Arabidopsis thaliana: one gene and its partner. The protein of the gene in region 1 interacts with the protein of each later gene in a pairwise test. Each region holds a gene or a part of one and is shown on either strand. Other genes may lie near its edges.

Evidence for each region.
Region 2: the proteins of NCED4 (region 1) and SERAT1;1 interact in a two-hybrid assay, tested with the Arabidopsis thaliana proteins (one large-scale study listed by BioGRID).

Annotation. Positions count from the first base shown.
Region 1 is NC_003075.7:10,479,626-10,484,734, forward strand, and holds NCED4 (nine-cis-epoxycarotenoid dioxygenase 4), read left to right. Parts: upstream 1-1,993; 5' UTR 1,994-2,209; coding exon 2,210-3,997; 3' UTR 3,998-4,254; downstream 4,255-5,109. Other genes in the region: AT4G19160 (transglutaminase family protein), read left to right, coding at 1-30, 166-322. UniProt on the Arabidopsis thaliana protein: May be involved in carotenoid cleavage.
Region 2 is NC_003076.8:22,960,179-22,964,481, forward strand, and holds SERAT1;1 (serine acetyltransferase 1;1), read right to left. Parts: upstream 2,536-4,303; 5' UTR 2,405-2,535; coding exon 1,961-2,404; intron 1,815-1,960; coding exon 1,320-1,814; 3' UTR 1,051-1,319; downstream 1-1,050. Other genes in the region: NDL1 (N-MYC downregulated-like 1), read left to right, coding at 1-113, 210-428; AT5G56770 (transcription repressor-like protein), read right to left, coding at 2,816-3,055, 3,175-3,577, 3,690-3,811; ET2 (effector of transcription2), read right to left, coding at 4,206-4,303.

The DNA of each region.
Region 1 (5,109 bases):
AGACCTTGGTATGATGCTGTACTACGACAGGTACAGTAAACTTAGATTTAAATCCTTACATTAAGTGGTTCTTTGTTGCTTGTCCCGGTTCTGTGAGTATTGGTCTGTTTAGTTTGATCAAATAGAAAATCTTGAATTGTTGAGATATGGTTTATTGTGGAGCAGGCAATATGGAGAGGCGGTACAAGAGCTGAGCATATGTATGGCATTTGCTCCTCCTGAAGAAGAAGCTGTGTTGGAGCCATTTGTAGAAAGACTTCATCTCCTTCGTCTCATATCTTCATTGAAGCCTCTTGGTTCTGATCGCTTGACCGTTCCTTGACTTCTCTCTCTCTCTCTCTCTACTCCACTTGTAAATTCACTCTCTTTCTTTCTCTGTTGTGTGTTTGAAGAACCTTTGTAGTAGGAGACATGGAGCTTTTGTTGTTTGTTGTAACTCTACTAGACTACTACTGTTGTTTTCTAATCAGATCTAATGGATTTGGGCCTCCAGCTAAATTTTGAGTTTCCCGTGAATCCATATTTCAAGGTTTTATCTATTTGGGCCTCAACAGCTTAAGCTTATATAAGACGAGCCGATTCGATCATGGTTTAGTGACAACTGACAAGTGTACTTGCTAAGAACCAAGTAACCGAATGAGATTTGGATTTTTAGAAATGATTTTTCAGTTTTACTTTGGTTCAAACCGAAAAAGTAAGCCCCGATCGCATTCAATTATCCAAACACGATAATCTTGCTCAATTCTACTCTTTTAACTTTGGTCCTGTCTGTTTAAAAGCTAAAGAAGATTGGTCCCTACCAAAAAAAAAAAAAAAGCTTAGAGGATTTGTTTTTTGATTTTTTTGCTAAATTTTGCTTAGAGGATTGGCTGGGACTTTAAGATAAAGAAAGAAGAAAAAATTACAGTTACAGTTTAATCAATCGACTTAAATCATATAAACTTAATTTCAATAGATAAGTTTGTATTAGTTTAGCTTGAAAAATAGAAGTAGTAAAGAGTTCGATATTATCTAGAAAACTACAACGTAGGAACAACACATAAACATGTGAATTGTGCATGCATAACCCCAAAGAGTGGCAATATCAATTATCAAATATGCAACACTTGTACCATTACATGTCATTCTATCTTTCATATTTTTGATGATTTTGCACTTTGAACTCTGAACCATCCATGATCCATTCCCTTGACTTGTAAAGGTTATCAATCAAACTTAAGTTTTTAAAAATTAAATTTGTAGTCAAGAATAGTAGTCATATATATATATATATATATACAAAAAACAAAAATTTCCCCGACCCAAGTGACCGAAAATAACGACTACATGTTTTATTCCTCCTTTAGTATAATGCGACATTACAGTTTGGTATCAGTAGTTTTGTATCCTTCTCACAATCACGATTGTTGGTGTAATAAACTTTATTCTTTCTATCCAACATGTTATAGTTTCCACATTTGTGGGTGCTGAAATTTCGACCAATGTCACTCGTAGACTCGTATACCTAATCGAGTTTACTTTTATATCAACAACTACAGACCAAGATTCCCATTTCACGTTGTTGTTTTTTTTTGTTTTTTTTATAAACATTTTTGTTGTTATCGCTAAATCATTAGTAGCTAGAATGCCCCGTACACGGTCTTGAAAAGGAGTCAAATATGTTTTTACCAAAGAAGAAATGTAAGAAACATAACATTTAACAAAATTTTAAAATATATTGACTAACAATTTGACCCAAAAAAAACTATCAAATTTAATAAAATACTTTTATGATTATCATAGTTTTTTTCCTTTTCAACAACTTTATAATACTGTAGTGGCTCAAAGAAACCAGGTCGGAGAAATTGTTCACAAACGAGATAATATACAAATTCAAAATATTTCGATGAAACATTTTTGTCAAAGTTGATGAATAGTTTTGCAGCACATAAAATACAAGATAATTCGTCTGATATTTAGGAAAATAATATTATCGTATGTGAAAATAACAATATAGACAAACCAATATTTGTAGATTAGAACTTCACATAAACTACGAACCAAAGGATTTTAGTAGCTTCACATCAAAGAATAAAAATCTAAGTTTCACAAAGAAACAATTAAATGATTTTTGATTTTGAAAATTTAATAAATAGCCCCACACAACACACTCATCTTCCTTCACAGCCTTAAACGTGGAGCCAAAGAAAGTAAAAACAAAAGGAGAGCAATGGACTCTGTTTCTTCTTCTTCCTTCCTCTCCTCCACATTCTCTCTTCATCACTCTCTTCTTCGCCGCCGATCTTCCTCTCCTACTCTCCTCCGTATCAACTCCGCCGTCGTCGAAGAACGTTCTCCAATCACAAACCCAAGCGACAACAATGATCGTCGTAACAAACCCAAAACACTCCACAACCGAACCAATCACACCTTAGTCTCATCACCACCGAAACTCCGACCAGAAATGACTCTCGCAACAGCTCTCTTCACCACCGTCGAAGATGTAATCAACACGTTCATCGATCCACCTTCACGTCCTTCCGTTGATCCAAAACATGTCCTCTCTGATAACTTCGCTCCTGTCCTCGACGAGCTTCCTCCAACAGACTGTGAAATCATCCACGGCACTCTTCCACTGTCACTTAACGGCGCTTACATCCGTAACGGTCCAAATCCACAGTTTCTCCCTCGTGGTCCTTACCATCTCTTCGACGGCGACGGTATGCTTCACGCCATAAAAATCCACAACGGTAAAGCCACTCTCTGTAGCAGATACGTCAAGACTTATAAATACAACGTCGAGAAACAAACCGGAGCTCCGGTTATGCCTAACGTGTTTTCCGGATTCAACGGTGTAACGGCGTCAGTAGCTCGTGGAGCTTTAACGGCAGCTAGGGTTTTAACCGGACAGTATAATCCGGTTAACGGCATTGGTTTAGCTAATACAAGTCTAGCTTTCTTCAGTAACCGTCTCTTTGCTTTAGGTGAATCTGATTTACCCTACGCCGTCCGATTAACCGAATCAGGAGATATTGAAACGATCGGACGGTACGATTTCGACGGGAAATTAGCGATGAGTATGACAGCTCATCCTAAAACCGATCCAATAACCGGAGAAACTTTCGCTTTCCGGTACGGTCCGGTTCCACCGTTTTTAACATATTTCCGGTTTGATTCCGCCGGGAAAAAACAAAGAGACGTTCCGATATTCTCGATGACGTCTCCGTCGTTTCTCCATGACTTCGCGATCACGAAACGTCACGCGATTTTCGCAGAGATTCAGCTTGGCATGAGGATGAACATGTTGGATTTGGTTCTCGAAGGTGGTTCTCCGGTTGGTACTGATAACGGAAAAACTCCAAGGCTTGGAGTGATTCCTAAGTACGCCGGAGATGAGTCGGAGATGAAATGGTTCGAAGTTCCTGGATTCAATATCATTCACGCTATTAATGCTTGGGATGAAGATGATGGAAACAGCGTCGTTTTGATTGCACCGAATATTATGTCGATTGAACATACTTTAGAGAGGATGGATCTGGTTCATGCTTTGGTGGAGAAGGTGAAGATCGATCTCGTCACCGGGATTGTGAGACGTCATCCGATCTCAGCGAGGAATCTCGATTTCGCTGTGATTAATCCGGCGTTTCTCGGGAGATGTAGCAGGTACGTTTACGCGGCGATTGGAGATCCGATGCCGAAGATCTCCGGTGTGGTGAAGCTTGATGTGTCTAAAGGAGATCGGGATGATTGTACGGTGGCCCGTAGAATGTACGGTTCAGGTTGTTACGGCGGAGAACCGTTTTTCGTAGCTAGGGATCCTGGTAATCCGGAGGCGGAGGAGGATGATGGTTATGTGGTGACGTATGTTCACGATGAAGTGACTGGAGAATCGAAGTTTCTGGTGATGGACGCTAAATCGCCGGAGCTTGAAATCGTCGCCGCCGTGAGGTTGCCGCGAAGGGTTCCGTACGGATTCCATGGGTTATTTGTCAAGGAAAGTGACCTTAATAAGCTTTAACAATATAGGTAACTGCAATAGTTAATAGAATAATTAAGTCTTAATTACGTCCCGTACAACAAATCGCATAGTGTTGTTGCACACTTGCACTTTATACATTAAACTAAAGTACACATAGTTTGGTGGTGGTCGATGTATATAAAACATACCAAAGCTTATGAATATTATTTTTTTCTTTTAAATATGCAGCTTCTGTTATTGGCAATAAATCTTATAAATATTCATTCATTCCGAGAGTTATCAGATCTTAACACAACTCTATTTCTCTATTTCATATTAGTGGAAGATGTAGATAAAAATATGAGAATGCTGAGTTTTAATACTCGAATATGACAATGTGGGCAATGTGTCATGCCAATATTGTTTCTTAAGCATAAAAACTGAATACATTGTTAATAAGATCATGAGACAACTATCAGTCGAAATATGAATGATCAGTTAACGGATAAAGAAAATTAATGCACAGAAAAAGATTTGTGGTTTAGATAAATAAATAGGAACATGAAAAAGATTGTGTTTTAGTGATGGGACCAACGAGACATCATTGTTTTGAGCAAAACATGAGGTATGGATATGGATATGGCCCAACGTCATTTATAGCATATACAACGACCTTTAGAAATGTAACCTCTTAAAACAAATTTAAATCTTTTAATTTTAGTAGTATTAAGAAAACCTTGAAATTATTGTGAATTGGGTGTAGTGGAATCAAAGCAAACGAGTGGCCAAAGCAATAAACGAACGAGAGTGACACTGACATAGATGTAGATTTATCCTTTCGTTTTGAGACCAAAGGGTACAATTATTTACATTTGTTCGAGTATATATATGTCTGTCCAAATTTTGGGATCAAGTTTCACGTGAGATGGGTGAGACTTGATGAAAAAAAAACAATATTGACATTTATGGCAATGAAAACTATTGAGACAGACTCGTTTCGTCACATAATTTTGAATCGATCAGACCAAATGTTTTCTATGGTACTCGAGTCTTAAGAACCAATCGTACCTAAACTATAGATCTATTATCACTAGACCAGTTAAACAAAAAAAAGTTATACGATGCGACTAATAACAAGAATCAATATGTAAATCTTGACCAAACCTATTGAA
Region 2 (4,303 bases), on another chromosome or scaffold:
TGAAGAAACTAAAATGCAGGACACTTATCTTCATCGGAGATCAATCTCCTTTCTACTCAGAAGCTGTTCACATGGCAGCAACTTTGGATAGAGGATACTGTGCTTTGGTTGAGGTTTGAGAAAACGAATCCTCATCCTTTGTACTTTACATATAAACACATGTTTGGTTTTCTTGCTACTAATAGATGTTTTCTTGGAAATATTATCAGGTTCAGGCTTGTGGTTCAATGGTAACAGAGGAGCAACCACATGCAATGTTGATCCCAATGGAATATTTCTTGATGGGTTACGGATTATACAGACCATCTCTTTTCTCCGAGAGCCCTAGAAGTCCACTTAGCCCTTCTTGTATTTCACCTGAGCTTCTCTCTCCTGAAAGCATGGGATTAAAGCTTAAGCCTATCAAAACCAGAATTTCGGCGGCTTAAGTGTGTGTGCACTACTGATTCATTGGTTCTAATTTTGCTGAGGAGAAGAAATCTTAGGGCTTTTGTAGATATAGAACAATACTAGGGAGATTTGAGAAGAAGAAGACGAAGAAGAAAAATTCAAGCCACCATCATATAACACATTCTTTTGTAGTCAGCCGACACGACAGTTCTCTTGTTAAGATGCCACAAAATGTTGTTTATTATTTCATTTTTTTATACATATGTAAAATGTTCTGTTCTTGTGACATTGTAACAATTGTTTTGTGACGAACTCTGCAGAAGCAAGTAATAAAATTCATTTTGCATTTTGTTTTTGGTTCTCTAATTGGCCTTACAAGCACATTGATTTCACCAAGTTAGAATCTGGTTTTTGCTTAATATTGATATTTAATGGTTTAACAGTCTTGATCCTGAACTATTTGGATCATCAGATTGAAACTTTTTAGTCTGAATTGAATTGTAAATGGAAATGGAGACCAATCCTTCTTTGCAGAAGCCGTAAGTTATATACTGATATAAGATACGCATAAGGATTAGTTGCGGTTGACGAAAACATAGTCCCTCATGAACCGGGGTAAAGGCGAAGAATGCTTCACTTAGTCTGAACAAGTTCAATGCTCCTCGATGTTTGTCAAGCCCGTAAAATGGATGCAGACAAGTGTAAATCCGAGCCAAACCCGAATACAAAGTAGAAGAAGTGTATAAACTCTTGGATAACTAATGATTGAATAATAACATCAAATTAAGGCCATTTCTTGTATTGAACATCGTAAGATGTTTTGTAAATTACAAATACAACAAAGCTCACTTACCTCAGCACCTCTCTATAAGCGAATGGTCAGAAAGTTTTTCACTTTCAAAACCACAGAAACAATTATAACAACAACTTTATATGATGTAATCTGACCATTCCGAGATGAATGAAGTATGATCCATCGATTCTCCAGGACATTCCTCATCATGAATCGTTGGCTTCTCTTTCCCTCCGACAAGTCTCGCCGGATTCCCAACCGCAGTACCTCGACAAGGCACGTCAATCAGCACAACAGAACCAGCTCCTACTTTAGCACCTGCACCAATCTTCACATTTCCAAGAATAGTCGCTCCAGCTCCAATCAAACAACCGTCACCGATCTTCGGATGTCTATCTCCACAAGCTTTACCTGTTCCACCTAGTGTCACATGGTGAAGGATTGAAACATTGTTCCCAATCACCGCTGTTTCTCCGACTACAACTCCGGTTGCGTGGTCTAGAAGTATCCCTTTTCCGATCTTCGCTGCTGGATGGATATCAACAGCGAATACATCGGAGATTCTTGAGTGTAGAGCTAATGCTAATGGCTTCCGTGATTGTGTCCATAGCTTGTGTGATACACGATGCGCCTAATTCAAATTCAACAAAGCCAAATCATGATCCGAAATTCGCATAACTGAAGAATCAACCTAACCTAACCTAAAACAATATTCATAAATCAAATCGCAAGATATAGAAATTGTGGATTCATCAGATCAAATGATGAAGATTTCACCTGAATAGCTAAGAAGCCTTTGTAATTGAGGAGACAATGAGAGAACGAGATACAAGCAGGATCACGAACACGAGCAGCGCGTAGATCTGCGACGGTGGCGTTACGAAGAGAAGGATCGGAGGAAAAAGTGTTTAAGAACAGATCGTATAAAAGTGTGGATAAAAGCGTTGAGGAACAAAGCTTGTTTCCTAGATGAAACGAGATAGATCGTTCAAGAGACGAATGAGAAAGAATCGTCGAATATAGATAGCTAGCTAAAGCTGGCTCCGCCTCAGCATCACGGCGAGCTTCCGCCTTGATCTGTGTCCATAATCCGGCAGCTTCCGCATCTGCAGCTGCCGCAGATATCGCTGCTGACGCTGCTTCTGCTTCATCGGATTGGGTAACGGAAGATAGTTTCTCCTTTGATGGAGATTGATGTCGGAGTTCTCCGGCCGGTGGCATATTAACGCGGCGATAAGATTCGATTTCTATCTCCTCCTACCTATAAAAGTTAATTTTCGAGACGCTCTTTAATCGTGCGGAAATTTTTAAATCCATAGATTAAAGACAATGATAGTCCACCTGGTGCGTGATTAACGTGATTTTTAGAAAATAAAATCGGAGCCGTCAGTTTTATGCTTTATCAATAACCGTTAGATTAGATTTATCTTTCCGTTAATCGACGGTGGTGATTCTGCCGACATTCTTACCAAACTTTTTCCGTAACAAATTTTTGATCAAAAAAAAAAAGAAACTATACAAATTAACTACTAACACTACAAATTTGAAACGTGAATAAGTGGGTTACAATCCAATTAATTTAGGAGAAACAAAAGCCATATCTTTGACCTAGTCGATGTAGGTTTACTCCGGTTAACCAAATGGTCTCATCACTTTGAGTGTTGAAGTGAGGAAAGTATAATTACTCTTCTCTACTTTGATGGTAACAACTTGGTCTCGAATAGAAGGAACTAGCACTTGTGACTTTCTCTTGCTCATAAACTCGGGGTCACCGAGCTTCTGTAACTCAAGATGGCGTCGTTCCCCATTACTGCATGTGTTCCATGCATAATCAAAAGTGCTCAAAAGCATCCCTTCTGTTGCAGCAGCTTCCTACTTAATTAGATCCCATCTGATAAATCACGGTAAAGCAGAGAAACAATCACATGAGTTAGGATCAAAGGTGTATACGTAGCAGACCAACTAGAGAAGATAAGAAGACATGTATTTACTGGTGCCCATCTATAAAAAACTGAGTATCCTTCCGAGAATATGTCCTCATATAAACCCGAGGGCAAATGACCACCGCGTCTTCCATAATCCTGGAGTCTTGATTTTACGTCTACACATTGTCCGACATATACACCAAGAACATTATTATCAGGATCAAAGTTTTGGCCTTGGTCTTGACCGATGACGCCTACACCGAGCTCATACAGACCCGTACAACGTTGAGGGGGTAAGTCCTCATGTCTGTATCTACGGACCCTTTCTTTTCTATTATTGAAATCTTTCCAATCATTGTGTCTTATAAGATTCCGCCATTTGGAGAATGCGATGTCGTGTATAGTCAGCTTGTAGTCTTCTCTCTTGAACATAGTGGGGACGGCGGAACTGAATTCCTTTCCGATCAATCTGGTGATACATTATGACCATTAATTTAAAGCCTGAAGGACCAATAATAGTAAGAAAAAAAACAGAGGATAAAAATGCAACAACATTGTGAATAGATGAGATGATAAGAGACCTATTGTTCAAGAGCTGACTTATCCCCGGCATAATGGTTGTGCTTTTTTGCGTGCTAATGATTGTGTGTCGTATATGGTTAAACTTCAACTTCGCCATCTTCGATAATAGAACAAACGACATTGTCAAACAAAATAAAACAGAACAAAACGGTTCTGCTACAGAAAAATAATGAAAGAAGGCAGCTCTGATATATTACGATCGTAGATATATGGAAGAAGCGAAGGGAAGTTGAAAAAGAAATGGGTCGTTTACAGTTTTTCGCATCATGGACAAGTAACAAAGTGGAGGCATGGCGGGAAACGGGTCTATGTATTTTTAAATCTAAAAACATCTAATGTAATGCAAAGATGCAAGTCAACGATGTTAATCAAAACTGATTTTAAATTTATAAAAAATGAGATTGTGAGTCATCCAGTACAGATGATTGTTCAGCAAACCAATACCGAAACCAAAACGGTTTTGGTACAAACAATTCTGGTTAGGTAACAAATAACATAAACAAGTGATGCAGAGGTTAGGTGATTCTCATTCCCTTATGCTCTTCACATCTCTTACGTCCTTTTACCGGAGATCTCTCACAGATCAATCCATTGCCTAATTTAACTCCACAAG